7 linked regions of the Kluyveromyces lactis genome follow. The main gene of each other region encodes a partner of the protein of the gene in region 3 in a complex. Links are inferred from orthologs where the notes say so. Each region holds a gene or a part of one and is shown on either strand. Other genes may lie near its edges.

Region 1 (2,284 bases), on a different chromosome or scaffold from region 3:
TGAACTGTCGTGTCGTTGTCATACTGTATGGAAAATTGTCAGCCTTATTGTCAATTTAAAGTGAAACAAAACAAAACAACCAATATCAGACCAAACTGTTAAACTGATGCCAGTTTTCAGGTCCTGCTTAATCCTGTATCGTGTATTCGCACCTCATCTCATCTCATCGCTACTTCAAATCTTTTCACTCATGATTTTTTTCTTTTCAATCTGATCTTTTCTCGACTGATTTTCACGCCTTTAGGCCTGGCATCAAGCCTGCTCTAGGAAAATTTTTGTATGTGATTTGATTCTATGTAGAGTTGATTGTGATGAGATAATGAATCTAACTATTACTACAGGAGGTGAATGCTGACACTGAAATAACCTGCTAAAATCTGGGACGTGTATTCGACATATATATACAAGGTGATGGGGGGATTGAACTTGATAAAAGGTTGTTTTTTTTTAGTCATTTCCGCCGATGTGTTATTTTGTACTGGATTCAATGAGAAGAGGGTTTAATGTGATCCTTCTTTCTTCTCAGATCTCTCCACTGGCAGAGTTTTCATACGTCTCTCCAAATAAGCATCCTTGTCCTTCAGTTTCTTTGTGTATTCAGTTTCTTTTCTACCAGGATACAAGATACGCTTGTCCAATTCAGACAACTCTTGTTCTTGAATAGGCTCCACTTGTTCAACGTTAGTGTGAGCCTTCCAGATGTGACGGATTTCACCCACACAATGCATACATAGCGTATGTGCCTTCTTGTAATGCCCACATGAAGGGCATTTGTTCAAATGGTTGATCATTTTCAGCTGTTTGTCTCCAGGCGCATATAACTTTTGTCTCTTCTTCTGATGCGACACTTTCTTCTTGGGCACAGCTAGAAGGATCCCGTTATTCGTAAAGTAATCCGCTTGAGGTGAAGACTTTTCACGTTGGTTTCTTTCAAGCAATTCCAGCAGTTTCTGTGGCAATGCAGTACCAGCTGCTGGAGTGCTCCAACGAGGCAATATTGATGTCGCTGTTTCCAGCAACACTCTGCTAAAAGATTCCGTTACAGCTCCAAAAGACATCCTCTAATTATTTTCGCTGCTGGTATGATACTATGATGAAGAGGAGAAAGGATAAGTTCAATCGATAGGGACAGATACTAGTTTCTCTAGGTCGCTCGTCTAACTCTGTTTGAACTTCGTCAATTCAAATTGGTATTGACGAATTGGATTATAAGAAAGAATTTTCAACATTACCCTGATTTGGTGATGATCTGTGTCCCTTTTTCGATTTCGATGAAAAAGACGAAAAATCACAAAAACTAAAAATGGAACTCGAAACGAAATAAGTGTGTCAACAAAATATAAGTAAGGAATCAGATCTTGTATTCTTTAGAATAAGTAAGATTGTGATTACTTTTTTTTGACGTTTCTGTGGTTAATTGCTACTCATTGTTTGAATTTTTGTTATTGCGGTTAATTGTTTTTATAACTTAGAGGTTTTTCATTATTTTAACTTCCAAACACTAAAACACGTAAAGCTTTGATCATTTGGATTTGACTTATATACATCTCTACTACGCGAAAGGAATTATTAAAGGTAAAATACACGCATAAACAAAAACAATGGCATCTAGTACTGCTGCAGCTGGTATGACTTCTTCTTCTGATGGGTTGGCTTTGGTAAATCCATCTTCTTATGTTGGGTTTGATTCGATTACTTCACAGATTGAACATCGTTTGTTGAAGAGAGGATTTCAATTCAACGTTATGGTCGTTGGACATTCTGGTCTGGGTAAGAGTACTTTGATCAACACTTTGTTTGCATCTCACTTGGTTGATTCTTCTACTGGTAAGGACATCACTCAGGAACCAATTAGTAAGACCACCGAGATCAAGGTTTCAACACATTCTTTATTGGAAGACCGTGTACGTTTGAACGTGAACGTGATTGACACTCCAGGTTTTGGTGACCAGATAAATAACGACAAAGTTTGGGAACCTATTGTCAAGTACATCAAGGAGCAACACTCTCAATATTTACGTAAAGAGTTGACTGCTCAACGTGAAAGACACATTGTAGACACTCGAGTACATGCAGTGTTATATTTCATCCAACCTAACGGTAAGGGTCTAACAGAACTTGACGTTGCTGCTTTGAAGAGATTGACAGAAATCGCTAATGTTATCCCGGTGATCGCTAAAGCTGATACTTTGACGTTGAATGAGAGAGCTAACTTCAGAAACATCTTACAAGAAGAATTTAAAAAGTACAATTTCAGAATCTATCCATATGATTTAGACGATCT
Region 2 (2,602 bases), on a different chromosome or scaffold from region 3:
GATGATTACCCGGAGGAGTGTTTGGGAGGGTATGGGAAGTGAATGGAAACCATGAGATGCCTAGCCTGGGGTCTAAGTGGGCAGTCCAGCGGCCAGTTTGGTGGAATGTCCAGGCCCAGACCGGGCAGTCCAGCTTAGGGAGGAAACGGGACAGGCCCTGCCCAGCTCGAAGCAAGCAACGAAGACGGATGGGATGTGTCTGTGCATCCTACCGTCAGCTCAGCGGATTTGGTGGACATGAGAAAATAATTTCCTAGTATGGAAACATTCTCATTTTCAGCAGAAATTGAGTATGTATGGGTGCAACAGTCAATAATGTCTGGGTGCAACAGTCACATGCACACCGTTCAATTCAATTGAACAGTGGGTGATTAACTCTTGCATCGGTCAGTCGGACAACTAACGCATAGTCTTCAAGCATCCTCCCAGCTCATGGTAGAATCTATTTTCTCATTGTTTACAAGCTTTTATATAAAATTGGAACAAAATCTATTCAGTTCTCATACAGTAATCGTACTCAAATCGAAATTCAAGGCCTTTAATCTCGATACGATGTCTGCCACGTCACGGGTAGCAAATTGGTCCATGAATTTCTTAAACGATAGATCTAATCCATCCGCTTTGTGTTCCATCTTTTCCAATGGGAAAAGGGTATGCAATAGTTTACGCTTACCAGCAGTAATTCTCAATGGTTCTCCATCGACAACAACTTTGTACAATACGGTGACTTCGTTGCCATTGGCATCTGTGACAGTCTCAGCGTCCTTATGTACAGGATTGGCAGCTTTTTCCTTAGAGTTCAGTAGTCTGTAACGGAGTTTCCAACCAGTAGGTCCCAATTCCTTAATTCTGGCGGCCTTTTCCTTAGTCAAATAGTTGTCAATACCACCTTCCTTGGTAATTGTTCTTAAAACTTTTGCTGTCATCTTAATACTAATCTTTCTGTTCAAAGTCTCACTCCATAGTCCTTTTCTAATAACGTTTGGACTCCATGATCTCCTGGTTTTTGTCTTCGATTCAGCGATGTTATTACCGAATTGGATGAAAGACGCACCGTATAAACCTTTGTTACTCTGTTTGTAAATTGGAGATTCTCCGTATGGATAATCAGGGAATTCCTTCTTCTCCTTTGGGATATATAATGGCTTGCTGTCGCCGACTTGATACGTCTTTGGAGTTGGGATCTGTCTGCTTTCAACTAATCTCCATTCTCTGAGGAGGTGGCTAAGAGTGGAAAACCCTCTTTGGGAACTTGGAAAAAACTTCATTCCAGATGAACGATCTCCGTGCTTATTGGTGAACGTACAGAGACTCTTAGACCAACTAGCTTCATACTAGGTTCAAGCTCCTTCTCTTCACCTTAGTGCATGTATCAAGTCGTTATTTTCTAAAATTTTGAATAAGCTTTGGAAAGATCAAAACCGTATACAGCGAGAATGGTAAAGCATAAGGAAATTTATGATTAGAATACACCTCTGCGTAATGGTTGGCGGTATCATGTATGTATGAAGGGTATGTATATATGTACGGCTGGATGGATATTGTGAATGAGGTCCCTGTTGCAATTTTTCTCATTTCTTCCATGGTGATTTGAAAGCCCAATTCCCGAGACGATTTCCCTTTGGATTGGTGGCATCTTTGGTCCAAGTCTTACCTGTGCGTAATTCATAGTTCTCTTTTTCTAATTCGTCAAGGCGTGTTCTGAGCTCTTGATTTTCGTCCATAACTTCCAGATTTCTTTCCATTGTTCTATTCAAATCTGCTTTCAAATCTGTGGGAATTTCAGCATCTGGATTAGGTAACGTTTGTTTATAAAGTTCACGTTCCAGTTGTTTCTTCAAATCTTCTATCTCTAGTAATAAATCCTTATTTTCGTCCTGAAGAGTTTCCATCCGAAGTCTGTTTTCAATTAGTTCATTGGCAATAGTGATATGCTCTCTGTTTAATAGCGAATAGTCATTTTCTAATTTCTTCAACTCTTTTTGAAGCTGTCTGTTTTTAATTCTTTGTTCCTCATATTGTTGTTCCTTTTCCGTTTCCAACTTGTGAATCTCATCGTACTCTTTCACGTAACGCTCCAATTGCAATGGAGTTAATTTGATTTCCAACGAATCAGAGATGAATCTATCAATATCGTACTCTTCTGGGTTCTCCTTAGAAGCATAGTGTTGGAAAAGGTCCTCCTTCAAGAAGTCTAAGAGAGAATCGAAACTGAGAATGATCAAATTACGACTGTTCTTTAACATCAACGTTAAACTGAATTTTAGCATCGATTCGATACCTTCAAGTATGACAATATCCATGATTCTGAGAACGAATTCAAGGGGAAATTTGTATGCGAACATCGTCAGGAACCATTGAGTTGCAAACATTGTAGATCTTATTCCCTGCCTGATCAAATGGTTATACAATTGAGGATCATTTTCCTCCAAAAGTGTATCAAATTGGTACAATTTCAACATCAGGCCAGGCATTCCCGGCAAGAATAAATCCCTTAATCCGTATACTTTCATGAGTTTCGTTAATAGAGAAAACGCTTGCCATTCTTCTTCACAGTTCAATATTAAAGTAGTAGCAATAAAACCCATGCCCTGTGTGTAAC
Region 3 (2,243 bases):
CCAAACGTTGAAAACACCGCAGGCAAATCATTCTGGAGAAAATATGTATGGTGATGCCATTTTGCTAACCATGTACCCATTCAAGCTAAAATCATCTAAGTCAAATGAATAATGCTATTTGTAAACAAGACCATTATTCATATTCGAACCGATGTATACACAGAAGCCATGTTTTTTTCTGAAGTACACTGTCACTTTGGAATACGGTTAAAGTCCCCTTTGAAAAGCTTAAGAGCTTCATTCTGCCGATAATCATTTCGTAGAATTGCTTATTTACATGGTTTGTTTACATTTCTTCTATCTAACTCTTTCATTACAATATATAATGCAACATCTCCATTATATTTTATTGCGTGGCACTTGGTCTTGCCTGTAGATCACACAAGTTGTTTCTCGAGCAACCCACGTTTGGTGTACCGATAAAAAAGTGTCCTAGAAGAGATAATGTGAAATATGATTCGTGCTCTACCTTTAATGCATTATGCCTGGAAACGAACTATTCAATCCTTTTTCTTGTAATCATAATACCACACATTGTTCGGTGGGTATTGAGTAGGTACCCTTAGTTCCAATGGGACCCTCTTACCTGATTCTTCAGCGTTAGCCATTTCATATAGTTCGGGATCTACCTGTTCTAATAAGTTCATAGCTTCTTCTATATTCTCGTACTGTAGTTTCAAGAGATTTGTTCTCTTTTCCCTCAGTTCCCTTTGATATTGCGCCCAACAAGCTTGAATCATATCATGTTTGATCAAATCTTCACGGGAAAGTTTTAAAAGTTTTGGCTGTTTCCTGCTAGCAGACATAACAGAGAGTTGTGTAATGATTCTTTGCGCTTGAGGATTTAATCCACCTTTCGATTTAGTTCTTTTCCCACGAACAAAGTTCAAAGAGGGTTGCACTACCTTCAAGGCATTCTTACGAGATGCTGCACTCGCTAGCATAGTGGATGGAGTATTAATGATCCTTTCGGTTGGCTGAGAAGCTGTATGCTATCACACGAACTTATCGCAGAAAATCAACCCGTATTTAATCGTCATTCAATTTATTGTCAAAGCTAACAATAAACTCACTGAAACCTCATCGAATCTTCAAAATTTTTCAAAGTTACTGATGTTGAACAAACAAATGTCTGTTACCCGGAACTGTTGATTATTTTGACTGCTAAACTCTTTTGCACGTGACCTAAAAAGGTTCAAGTACACAGGGAGTAGCTGCCCTTCGACTAGCTGGTAGGTGATTAACTTCCGACTTGTCTTGATTACCTGCTATGCCACCTCACATAATGAAAAATTGAATCTAACAAAGCCTGGAATACCTTAGATATCATATTTTCCTTCTTTTCATCTTTACATCTGATATATGATGATATAGCATTACGCCATTTGTAAGGTTTTAAAGGGAAATCTGCACATCAAGGACCCTGTTTGAACCATTTATAATGTATAGAAACGACAATATATTTTAATGGCAATCAGAACCGACGCTGTTCGAAGAGTTGAGATTTCCCTTGGACCAACATTCGGAGTCGTAAACAGTTAAACTCAAACTTACGGAAAGATGTCTCAAGACGATCAGAAGCAATATCCTGATGAGAAGAAAAGTTCCTTGCCAGAGGATCCTCCAACGTATACAGATGTTCTTAAGGAAGACAAGGCACTACGAGAGGAGCAAGCAGAAAATTGCAATCAAGTGGGTCATATGAGCACCAACCACATACCAGAGGCAATCGTGGCTACCCCGGTACGCAGAGAACAAGTTATAATAACGCCGGCTCAAAAAAAGGTATATAGTTACAGTGCTAATGTAGATGATATTTAAATAGGATGAGAAATAAATATATTAGGCCTAAAAAAAGTACGTATCACAGTATTAACGGTGGCGTTGAACACTTTAAGTGTTCCTCGTCATCGTCGAGGTCTATTAGCGACAGGTGATGGTTAATGTTGTCCGATACTGCGTTATTGGTAATAGTCTGAGTGTTATCGGGATCAGAGAAAGGAATCGATAACGTGGGGGACCGCGAATTCGGTGATACAACACCAATTTTATAATCTTCAAGCTCTGGCGACCTAGCTTTGTCTCTGTGGTTTCCTTCGTCAGTATGATGGGTAAGGGATCCCCAAAACCAAAATTTGCTCTTCCTTTTCTCCTTTGGTCGCTTCTTCTTCTCTCTCGGTAAAGCTTTGGCGACAAATGGTTCCAAGGGATCCATTTTAAATTTCGGCTTGACATCATCACCA
Region 4 (2,944 bases), on a different chromosome or scaffold from region 3:
GCTTCTGTCAATGCCTTAGAAAGGGCTAAAAGTACACCAGGTGTGGTGTACATCAGGCCTCCTATTGAGAACTATGCGACTTTGGATTTTGGTAAGTTTGAAGAAATATACCAAGTAGGCTACGCGTACGGTCATGACTTTTTACAACATCTGCAAGAGAAAAACGAATTACCGCCAATTGCGGGTACCACAACTTCTGCTTATGCCGACAAAGAAAACATGTTACAAAGACGGAACAGTATATAAAACGAATTAACAGGAAACGCTACCCACATTTGTCGATGGTGGACATGCAGGACATAAAATCAAAGCCATGGCAATTAACGTTATAGTTTCTAAGTAACTGTAAACCGAAAGTTAAAAAAAAATTGAATAAACTAAATATATACTATACAAATGTTAGCGATGGATGTATATTGGGGGCAAAATGAGGATAGCTCACATCGCACTCAATCAATAATGAGGACATGAAGTTATTTCTTCGAATTTCCCTTATTAAATGTTGAAAGAAGAAGAAGGATACTGGACAATCATTCATCTTCTGGTGTTGTTACAAGGGCCACAAGACCACCTCTAACGAAAATCATTTCCGAAAACCTTTCGGTCGTTTTCAAATCTCCTTCTACTAGTTCATAAATGGTTTCCTTTGAATCTGAAAGAACAATATTACAATGTGAGTCGAAAGCCTGAAGAGTACCCACTAATTCACGAGCATCACGTAATTTCACATATACTCGCTCGTCTAAATTCAATTTTAATAGATCCAGAGGCGTATCAGACATCTTTGCGGCGTAAAGTGTGTATGTCTTCTATATTTATGATGCAGTCGTATTCTTACAATAACCAATAATGCAATTGATAGAGGGTACAGCAGTTAGGTTGAATGGTTTCCTTTGTCAGTTTATCAAATGGAGTACCAGGTATAGTAGAGTAGTCGATATACAATCCAAGGCTTAGTTCCATTCACACTCCAGAGCATCCTCCATAACATACTTAATCACCAAATTATTGTTAACGTACTAATTGATAAAAAGTGTTGAAGTTTTGAATTTCGATGTCAATGGAAAGCTCTGAATTATAGAATAATCAGTTAAACCAGGGAAGGTACACGTTTCCAACCATCTTTGAATGATACTGTACCTGTTGAAAGATGGCCAGGATATGCGATGCTAGTTTATCATCTTATTGCACTATGCTTCACTAAGAGAGTCAATAGTCAACCTGATATTCACGTGACTATCACATGACAAAGGCCGGGCAACCTAATGACGGACCCCGAATCAACTCTGTTCGATCAAAAAATTTTTATAACATTTAAGCAGAGGAAAGCTGAATAGGAATTAAAACATGGATGAATCAGCTAGCTGTCGTGATATTGAAGTGTTCTACCTCGATTGAGTAGCTGCAGGACGTGTTTATTATAGCAGGGATATTATATTTTCAAAATGTTCCCAGCAAGAAGGGGATTGCATACTACTTCTAGAGCATGTGCCAGGACGAGATTCACCAAACCTAAACCCAAACCAGCCAAGAGAGAGAACGTTAGACTACCTACCCAGAGGACCCATCACGATAATGATTTAAAGATTACAGCTCCTATTCCACCGGCTGCTGCCAATTTGACATGTCCAGATGATCATCCTTTATGGCAATTTTTCTCCGAGAAGAAGTTTTTAAGAACGCCCGAGGAATTGGATACGCTTTCGAGACCTTGGACCATCCCAGAGTTGAGAAGAAAATCGTTCACTGACCTACATTCTTTGTGGTACACATGTTTGAAAGAACGTAACGTATTAGCACGTGAAAACCATTTGGTGCAGTTCAACTTTGAAGCACAAACCGAAGCATACCAAGATATCTCCGAAAAGATCAGAACGACAATGTGGAGAATAAGACACGTCCTTAGCGAACGAGACTGGGCATTCAAGATAGCGAATGAGAAATTTGCTGTTGAAAAACAAGTATTTATCGAATCATTCGAAAAAGACTTTTTAGAAGCTCCTGCTAACGAAGATGAAGAGATTTTCGAATCATTGCAACGTTTTCAATATGCCATATACGGTATCTCTGAGTACATCGATGAGAACAAAGTGGACAGAACATTTGTGGATGGATTGAAAGCGGTTGCAACATTGAAGTTAAAGAAATTTGCACTAAGAAACGAGGACATCAAGAACTTTTTAGAAGAATCTAACAATACAATTGTGGATGCAGGTGAATCCTTCCTTCTGTATACATCAGAAAACACAGAATCTGCCATCGCAGAAGCATGTCAAGCGGTAAGGGAGTTGAGAGAAAATGGCTCCTCTGTGTCTAGATACGATGAATTGGAAACTGTTCAAGAATATGTTAATAAATTAGCTGAGGCTCAAATGGCAAAGGTAACAGAAGCGGAAATACAGCTGCAAGAAGAAGATGCAAAAAACAACGCTAATACACTATGATATTAATGCCATCGAAGTGATTGTATAAAGAGATAAGTGTAACCGTCCATTTGGATGAACCCAGCCTTCCTGTACATATGTATACACCAACTTAAATAACGGAATATAAAACAAAAAATTTCCTTCGACAACACTTTAATTTGACGAATAAGAATTGTATTTAAAGAGAGTTTTATTTGCAGTCAATTAATTCAATAGACCTTTTTAGCCTTTTTTACCGCTCTCCGTAGCGGCCTCCCAGTAATGCTATACTCTATCGACATAGTATCTTCAATTTTAACCGTGGACAAAGAATCTTCCGTACTGATCTCTGCCTCGTCTTTGACTACAACTTTAAAGTCTTCTTCTTCTCCAGATGCATCATAGTCCAGTTTGCGTCTTTTCACTAATTTATCACTTGTACTTGCTCCAACTGTTTTCCCAATTTCTTGTGCGAAAAGGACACATTGTGCCCAGCCCGCGTATGGGCCCCATAGATCCTGGAGCTTCCTTCTGTACAT
Region 5 (2,075 bases), on a different chromosome or scaffold from region 3:
TTTCTCGTGGTACATCTTCTTTGGCGTTACAGTACGGAATAGAAGTGACCAACTTTATCACACACGTCAATGACCAATCAACACCTGATTTGGATACATTCTTGAAGGTTGTTAAAGAAATCCCAGATAATACATACTGCAAGTTACGCTTAATGACATTTGACGATGTTCCGTTTGCCATTTCCTTAAAGACAAACTATCACTACTTCCCAACGGTAGAATTAAGAAAGAATCCAAAAACAGGTAGTTGGATCGAGAATGATATCTCGGAGACTTAATTTGACTATATATATGATTAATCATTTTTTACCGTTGTTTGCAAATTGTATATAGGTATTTATTAATGATAATTATCCATTATAGTAACCCGCTGATTTTTCATGACATGCTTTACTGAAAATCATGGTAAGAAATGGTGTGTCATTCATTATGGGGATGCCATTGTTATATGTACAGGATTGAAATCGAAACGATATCTTATTTTAATTGCCTTTCATCTCTTAATGGTATGGAAGCAATCTCTTTAAACGATGCATATGTGTGGAGTCTGCTAATGACCTGCCAGATAATGATTTAAGGGAGTTCCTACTCCATCCAGCATTACCATGATTTCTTCCAGCCTTGCCCCTCTTGAAGCTATTGGCTGTTTTTCTCCATCTTTTTGCGGCACCTTTGTGTGTTTTCATCAAGTTTCTGGTGAGGATGAGCGATGAAACATTAGTTTTAGATCCCAGAAGTCCAGTTCTAGCGGAAAAGTTCATCATCGAACCAAAGATAGAAGATAGCATATTTGAAGTAGTTCGCTGGTGGGGTAAATCCTGCTATAGTCCGTTAACAATGAAGTACTTGAATTGTAGCTCACTTTCACTCAGTACCTTGCCATAATCTCACAAGAAACTTTTATTACATACACTTCTTTCAGAGAAAACAAAAAATGTCATTTATGTTGAAACGTATGTAGTGATATACTATCGAAGTGTTTAAAATTACAATTTGATTAAATTGTGAGATGGGGGAGATACATGTATATACAGAAAGACGTATTTGTTTCTAGCAAAATGGTAGAAGATGATGTTTTTGAACCAGGGGTATTTAGGAGCACATATTTTGCAATGAGCTGTTATTGAAAAGCGTTGTTCTCGTATTCTTGTTCTTCTGTGTTTCTTTTTGTCTTGTTTTTGTGAAGAATTGATAACTATTTCTTATTCTTCACGTTGTAATGTTGAGATCTTGTCGTTTACGATTAACACAGTTCACGCTGCTTACGAGTCATAAATAACTTGGGTGAAATGCTACAACTTTTTGTTTGTAAAATCATAACTTTCTTGGTAATTCATTCGTTTAGATGTTGCATGGTATGTTGCCATTATGGTCATTAAGGTGAGACAAAAACAATGAGCTATTGTAGCTTTACTCATATTGAAATGAATTAAATTCATTCGTGAATATCATGCTAATTTACGCGAGACCTTGAGCACGGTAGGCTGCAATAGCTTCGTCGATCTTACCCTTAATGAATGGATCAGCTCTGATCTTTTTCTGGACCTTGGTAGCCTCAGCGAAAGTAGTAGCTTGTAGTTTTTCATCGAAAGATCTTGAGAGATCGGCAGCATCTTCGAACAATTGAATGGCATCATCAATTTCTTCTTGTTGCAATTTTAGTTGAGCAAGACCGATCTTGGCTTGTTCGGATCTTGGATCGATCTTACAAGCTTCTTCAAATAATTCGGAAGCTTCAACGAAGTTTTCAACGGTTGGGTTTCTAATCAAAGCAGTGGCCTTACCAATCATTGGAGCAATACCGACGTGAATACCTGGTAAAGCATCTTCCAACTTGATGGCAATATCGTATTGCTTGATGGCAGCATCTAGAGAGTTCTTAGCAGCCAAAATTTCGGCATAAAAGTTTGGAACTTCTGGAGCAGTTGGGAACTTTCTTCTGGCTTCGCTGAACAAAGTTTCACAATCATCAAATCTATCGTCACGGAAAGCCAAGCAAGCACATTGGATGTAGGCAAAAATGTTTTCTGGATTTAATTCCTTAGCCTTATCGAAATCGGCACCAGCTTCTTTGA
Region 6 (2,312 bases), about 510 kb from region 3:
AAAGAGAAAGGATATGAGAGACAAGTTGACCGACCAAGAACTTGATAAAATGGAGTTGAAGAAAAGAGAAAAGAGAGAAAGACGTCTGAGAAACAAACAGAAAATGAGAATTTAGAAAGTTCATCACTATTGGGGTTGTTTCTCATTCTCGTCTCTTTATTTCCAAAGCAACAGTTAAAGCTGATCAAGAGAAATATGCTCGTCCAGGTGATGAGCGTTCCTGTAGTAATAACTCTCTTGTCAATCCCCATTTAGTATGAATCATCCAGATCTACTGTCCACGTTATTACTTCAACTGGTAGCGATTGGATGCAACGAACTTTCTTTATTGTTTTCGCAAGTTATTTTAATGTAATTTATGTACAAGTGTATGAATGTGCCTCTGAACCGCAATGGGGACGAGACGTCACGAACAACATCCATGATCATTATTATTTTGTAAGACATTGGTATCTCAAATGATCCGCGTAAGGAGGAAAAAAAAGATAAAACATTTACTATCATAAGTCTAATCCTGGAATCTTCACATTCTCGATAGTTATTTCTTCGTTTAATGCTGACTTAGGAGTTTCTGGTGTCTTATTTTCTTCCTTGGATACCTGCTTAGCCTTCTTTACGTTCTGTTCAGTCTTCTTCACCGTTGATTCGGTTGTTTTTAATAAAGCTGCTGCTGATGCACGTGATCTCTTAGCTGAGGTCAACAGGGCTTGGTCAATATCAGTTTCCTTTAGAATGTAGCGGGCTCCATTATAGTTGTGCAAGAAGTTTCTCATTAGTGAGGGCTTGACATTTACCACCTCGCCGGTATGAAATTGGAACTGAGGAAAATCTTTTAATAACTGTACCTGTACTCTCTTTGTACGTTTGGTTAAGGCAGAAAGACACGATGATGTCGGTCTGAACATTTTGCTGTAATATTTTAAAAGCCCTTGGAGCGTGTGCAGTTATTGGAATAGCACTTCAAACACAATTGACGCTATTTTTAATTCCCTGCTTATGGTTAACTTTTAGATTGATCTTGTTCTAATGTGATTTTAAACTATCAAAAATTTTTGAAGCTTTAAAATCATATCTAAGTGCCAGCCTAGTTAAAAGATGTGTACATAAAAAGAAGATAAAAGATTGGTTTAGCGAGTGACAGCCGTTCATACTGTACTACTCCGTGTTTGTAACCTTTGAAATACTTATTTATAAATGAACTGCGTAATGGATACAATCTAACCTAATACGATTCGCTATAAAGTATTGTATGGGTGTATGGGTGTATGGGTGCTTTCGTTGTTTCAACATCAGTTTTTCGAATTATTCAATCAACCTAAACAAAGCATTCACTAGCTTTTGGTACATTAACTTACATGCATCAACTTGTATAGATGAGACATATCATCTGCTTACCTCCTAGTAGAATAAACTAAGCTACCGCTAGATTGAGATTAAAGAAAAATCAAAATCAAATGTCTGCGGCACAGAGTGGAGCAACGGTTGAACATCAACAGGCACAAACTGTGCCAGTTGCACAACCAACTGACATGTATATCCAACCGTATTTGAAGAAATTAATACCAGAATTGGATGGGCTAAGTAAGTTACAAGAGGCTGAGAAGAGAATTGACATATATTTAAGTCGTAAAAAAATTGATTTGCATCAGAATATTACTCAATGGACTCATTCCAAATACACAGATCCTGCGAATAATCAGTTTGTTCGTGTTTTCATTTCTAATATTTCTGAGAACCAGCCATGGCAGACGAACGATGAGACCATGGAACTTGATCAAGCATCATGGACATTGCGTATTGAAGGTAGACTGTTAGATAATGGGAAGGCAGACGATCCAAATAGGCCTAAATTTTCCTCCTTTATAGAAAGCGTCGCGATAGATTTCAAACCTGTAGAGGAAGATCAAGATGATGAAACTGATCAAGAAATGGGAGACCCCTTATTAGAAGGGACACAGGAACCTAGTGCTAAAAAGCCAAAAAATGAGCAAACCGTTTTTGAATGGCATGTGGATCCTAATACTCCTGTAGAGTTTGACGGTGTTGATGTTTCACGTAAGGGTACTGAAAACGTTAACTGTACCATCACTATCCAACCAAAAGGGTATACAGGGGAGTTCTTACAGTATTCACCAGAACTATCATGTATTGTCGGATTCTCAAAAGGAACCTTTCATGAGGCGATATACTCTCTTTACAAATATATTCTATTAAACAGTCTATTGACGAATAACGACGAGGCGGGACCAAAGGATTCCACAAACGGTGAGAAAGTCTTAGTGAAAATGGATGCTTCATTAGCAAAGCTAGTG
Region 7 (2,156 bases), on a different chromosome or scaffold from region 3:
AGCAATTTATCAAAGAGCGTGAAGCGCAGCAGAAGGAAGTCGAGAATAGCTCTAAGCAAAATAATAAATCTGGCAGTGCTAATACCAATAATGCTACTGCCGACGAAGGTAAGAATGTCAAGGATAAACCAATACTAGCAGAGTGGGAGAAATCACCTAATTTGCACATCTTCAATATAATGTACGATTTAACACCCCCTGACTACATCAAGAAGATCATTACAGAATTTGGTTCGTTGCCACCATCTTCTGTTCCCGTGGTTCTTAGAGAATACAAAGCATCAGCTTGAATGGAGCCCTTTGCATATATAATATACGATAATATCATATAATATAGTAAATGAAAAATTAGTATAGATCTTCTTTTTTATTAATTGCGTAGTAATATTCAACATCGTAGGTTGTTTACTTAGGTATCGGCTTCATCGAGGATATTGCTATATATATGTACAAGTTAAGCTATGATCTCGATATTACCATTCACAAGTCATTTTTTCGATTCAAACCTTGTGTCTGATGGCTGGGCTTAAATGTAGTGGAGACCAGATACCTCTCACACTATCGTTCAAAGTATCCACATTGTCGTTCTTAGTTCTGTGACGGAGTTGCTCACCAGATGCGTCTCTGATTAGTTTTAACTTATTCTCTACATTATCAATGTTCAGATTTTTTACGCAGATGGCTTTATTACGGCCATTAACATAGTCACCTTTTATAACTGGATGGCCAGACTTTCTTACTATTTCGAACTGTATTGTTGGATATTTTTCAGCCCATTGAATCATTCTGTTAGACGTTAGGAAATCTCTCAAACCCTGTGAGGAACCACCCCAATTACAGTATTGCAAAGTGATCTTTTTACATGGAAGCACAAAAGCGCCAACACCATTTCTTGCGATAGAAGTTTGTCTCAAAACTTTAACAACCATTACTTCAGAGAAATCTTTATGACCGCGGGTACCAGCTCTGATTAGAAAACAAGTTGGGTGTATTTTGAAACTGTGGAGAGATCCTTCAGATGCAGAACATAGATTCACTAATATATCTTTTGAGTTTTATTCGAGTTTTCAGTTCATGATTATTTTTTTCCAATTTCAAAAGACCATCAGTCACGTGAACAAATCTGTATGTATTCGAAGGTAGGAGGACAATTCACCACATGCTCACACAAATGAAAAAGATACTGGTACCAACACTGCTATAAGGTGACGAATGTAAATAATACAGAACCTCTTTCCGACTATATTCTGTTTCTTTCACATTGCTATGTCAACACATCCTCATGAGATGTCATACGTCATGTAAACTTGATGATCTGTCGATGGGTTATGACAATAATGCACTACCAGCGTTTGGTTAAGGGTACTTTTACTGAGCAAATCCATAGAAAGTACGATAGAGGCCCCAGATTCTGATCCAAGATGTCCCAAAGGCTTCATATGAGGTTAATTAAATAAAGGGCCTGATTTGCGTTCACCCATGGAATGTACGGATTGACACCTAGCGTATGTTGGATGCACACTAGTAATTTGTTAAAAAAATTATGCACATGCGTCATTTAAACCAATTAACTGGGCACTCCCTATTAAGTGTGATGTAAGTGTATGACACTTTGTTCAAGAACAGGCAAATGTATTGCCATAATAGTCACCAGTTTATCATTATGGTGCGTATAATGTCCCTATAACTATTGAAAAATTAAAGTTCTATGCGTTTTTTTAAGGATGCGTATAACGATGACCACCCCTAAAAAACATTCACTTGTAAGTAGCGAACAGTCAAGGTTTGTATCCGTTTCTTTAATTTATTACGGCGTTCACTGAAGCGTTTCAACGATGCAGTATAAAATGCGACAAAAAAATTTAGGGAAAAAAGCAGAAGAATACCATACTAATTAACTGGAACTTGGTAATTCATCAACGGTAAATACTTATAAGGTGTTAAGAGTTTATTAGCGTGTCCAAAGTAACATTTGTATTATATAAGAAGGGCAGCAAATGGCACTTTTTTACTACCATTTTCATACCTTTTACTTGCACCTTTATTTCATGTCATTGAAGAATTCTTAATATACATAGTTTTCCTTCAGATTAATTAAAGATTGAACACCCTCGAACAACAACCTAACTTTACTACGCTCATTAAAAACGATTATA

Evidence for each region.
Region 1: MRPL28 (region 3) and MRPL32 share a complex: the UniProt entries of both Saccharomyces cerevisiae proteins name them as parts of the mitochondrial large ribosomal subunit. The link is inferred for Kluyveromyces lactis from reciprocal best matches to the Saccharomyces cerevisiae genes MRPL28 and MRPL32.
Region 2: MRPL28 (region 3) and MRPL24 share a complex: the UniProt entries of both Saccharomyces cerevisiae proteins name them as parts of the mitochondrial large ribosomal subunit. The link is inferred for Kluyveromyces lactis from reciprocal best matches to the Saccharomyces cerevisiae genes MRPL28 and MRPL24.
Region 4: MRPL28 (region 3) and MRPL4 share a complex: the UniProt entries of both Saccharomyces cerevisiae proteins name them as parts of the mitochondrial large ribosomal subunit. The link is inferred for Kluyveromyces lactis from reciprocal best matches to the Saccharomyces cerevisiae genes MRPL28 and MRPL4.
Region 5: MRPL28 (region 3) and MRP35 share a complex: the UniProt entries of both Saccharomyces cerevisiae proteins name them as parts of the mitochondrial large ribosomal subunit. The link is inferred for Kluyveromyces lactis from reciprocal best matches to the Saccharomyces cerevisiae genes MRPL28 and MRP35.
Region 6: MRPL28 (region 3) and MRPL50 share a complex: the UniProt entries of both Saccharomyces cerevisiae proteins name them as parts of the mitochondrial large ribosomal subunit. The link is inferred for Kluyveromyces lactis from reciprocal best matches to the Saccharomyces cerevisiae genes MRPL28 and MRPL50.
Region 7: MRPL28 (region 3) and MRPL51 share a complex: the UniProt entries of both Saccharomyces cerevisiae proteins name them as parts of the mitochondrial large ribosomal subunit. The link is inferred for Kluyveromyces lactis from reciprocal best matches to the Saccharomyces cerevisiae genes MRPL28 and MRPL51.

Annotation. Positions count from the first base shown.
Region 1 is NC_006042.1:1,182,630-1,184,913, forward strand, and holds MRPL32 (mitochondrial 54S ribosomal protein bL32m), read right to left. Parts: upstream 1,059-2,284; coding exon 501-1,058; downstream 1-500. Other genes in the region: KLLA0_F12804g (uncharacterized protein), read right to left, coding at 1-22; septin CDC10, read left to right, coding at 1,602-2,284. UniProt on the Saccharomyces cerevisiae protein: Component of the mitochondrial ribosome (mitoribosome), a dedicated translation machinery responsible for the synthesis of mitochondrial genome-encoded proteins, including at least some of the essential transmembrane subunits of the mitochondrial respiratory chain.
Region 2 is NC_006040.1:1,064,461-1,067,062, forward strand, and holds MRPL24 (mitochondrial 54S ribosomal protein bL28m), read right to left. Parts: upstream 1,269-2,602; coding exon 501-1,268; downstream 1-500. Other genes in the region: KLLA0_D12584g (uncharacterized protein), read right to left, coding at 1,572-2,602. UniProt on the Saccharomyces cerevisiae protein: Component of the mitochondrial ribosome (mitoribosome), a dedicated translation machinery responsible for the synthesis of mitochondrial genome-encoded proteins, including at least some of the essential transmembrane subunits of the mitochondrial respiratory chain.
Region 3 is NC_006039.1:1,299,898-1,302,140, reverse strand, and holds MRPL28 (mitochondrial 54S ribosomal protein mL40), read right to left. Parts: upstream 945-2,243; coding exon 501-944; downstream 1-500. Other genes in the region: KLLA0_C14949g (MFS transporter), read left to right, coding at 1-54; KLLA0_C14916g (uncharacterized protein), read left to right, coding at 1,561-1,821; LFT1 (Lft1p), read right to left, coding at 1,865-2,243. UniProt on the Saccharomyces cerevisiae protein: Component of the mitochondrial ribosome (mitoribosome), a dedicated translation machinery responsible for the synthesis of mitochondrial genome-encoded proteins, including at least some of the essential transmembrane subunits of the mitochondrial respiratory chain.
Region 4 is NC_006038.1:467,767-470,710, reverse strand, and holds MRPL4 (mitochondrial 54S ribosomal protein uL29m), read left to right. Parts: upstream 1-1,445; coding exon 1,446-2,444; downstream 2,445-2,944. Other genes in the region: NTE1 (lysophospholipase), read left to right, coding at 1-246; U4/U6-U5 snRNP complex subunit LSM3, read right to left, coding at 531-782; 8-oxoguanine glycosylase OGG1, read right to left, coding at 2,636-2,944. UniProt on the Saccharomyces cerevisiae protein: Component of the mitochondrial ribosome (mitoribosome), a dedicated translation machinery responsible for the synthesis of mitochondrial genome-encoded proteins, including at least some of the essential transmembrane subunits of the mitochondrial respiratory chain.
Region 5 is NC_006042.1:2,241,652-2,243,726, reverse strand, and holds MRP35 (mitochondrial 54S ribosomal protein bL35m), read right to left. Parts: upstream 789-2,075; coding exon 501-788; downstream 1-500. Other genes in the region: NMA111 (Nma111p), read left to right, coding at 1-278; protein channel TOM70, read right to left, coding at 1,459-2,075. UniProt on the Saccharomyces cerevisiae protein: Component of the mitochondrial ribosome (mitoribosome), a dedicated translation machinery responsible for the synthesis of mitochondrial genome-encoded proteins, including at least some of the essential transmembrane subunits of the mitochondrial respiratory chain.
Region 6 is NC_006039.1:791,672-793,983, reverse strand, and holds MRPL50 (mitochondrial 54S ribosomal protein bL9m MRPL50), read right to left. Parts: upstream 906-2,312; coding exon 501-905; downstream 1-500. Other genes in the region: KLLA0_C09086g (uncharacterized protein), read left to right, coding at 1-115; RSC6 (Rsc6p), read left to right, coding at 1,455-2,312. UniProt on the Saccharomyces cerevisiae protein: Component of the mitochondrial ribosome (mitoribosome), a dedicated translation machinery responsible for the synthesis of mitochondrial genome-encoded proteins, including at least some of the essential transmembrane subunits of the mitochondrial respiratory chain.
Region 7 is NC_006042.1:776,644-778,799, forward strand, and holds MRPL51 (mitochondrial 54S ribosomal protein mL43), read right to left. Parts: upstream 930-2,156; coding exon 501-929; downstream 1-500. Other genes in the region: GCD2 (translation initiation factor eIF2B subunit delta), read left to right, coding at 1-290. UniProt on the Saccharomyces cerevisiae protein: Component of the mitochondrial ribosome (mitoribosome), a dedicated translation machinery responsible for the synthesis of mitochondrial genome-encoded proteins, including at least some of the essential transmembrane subunits of the mitochondrial respiratory chain.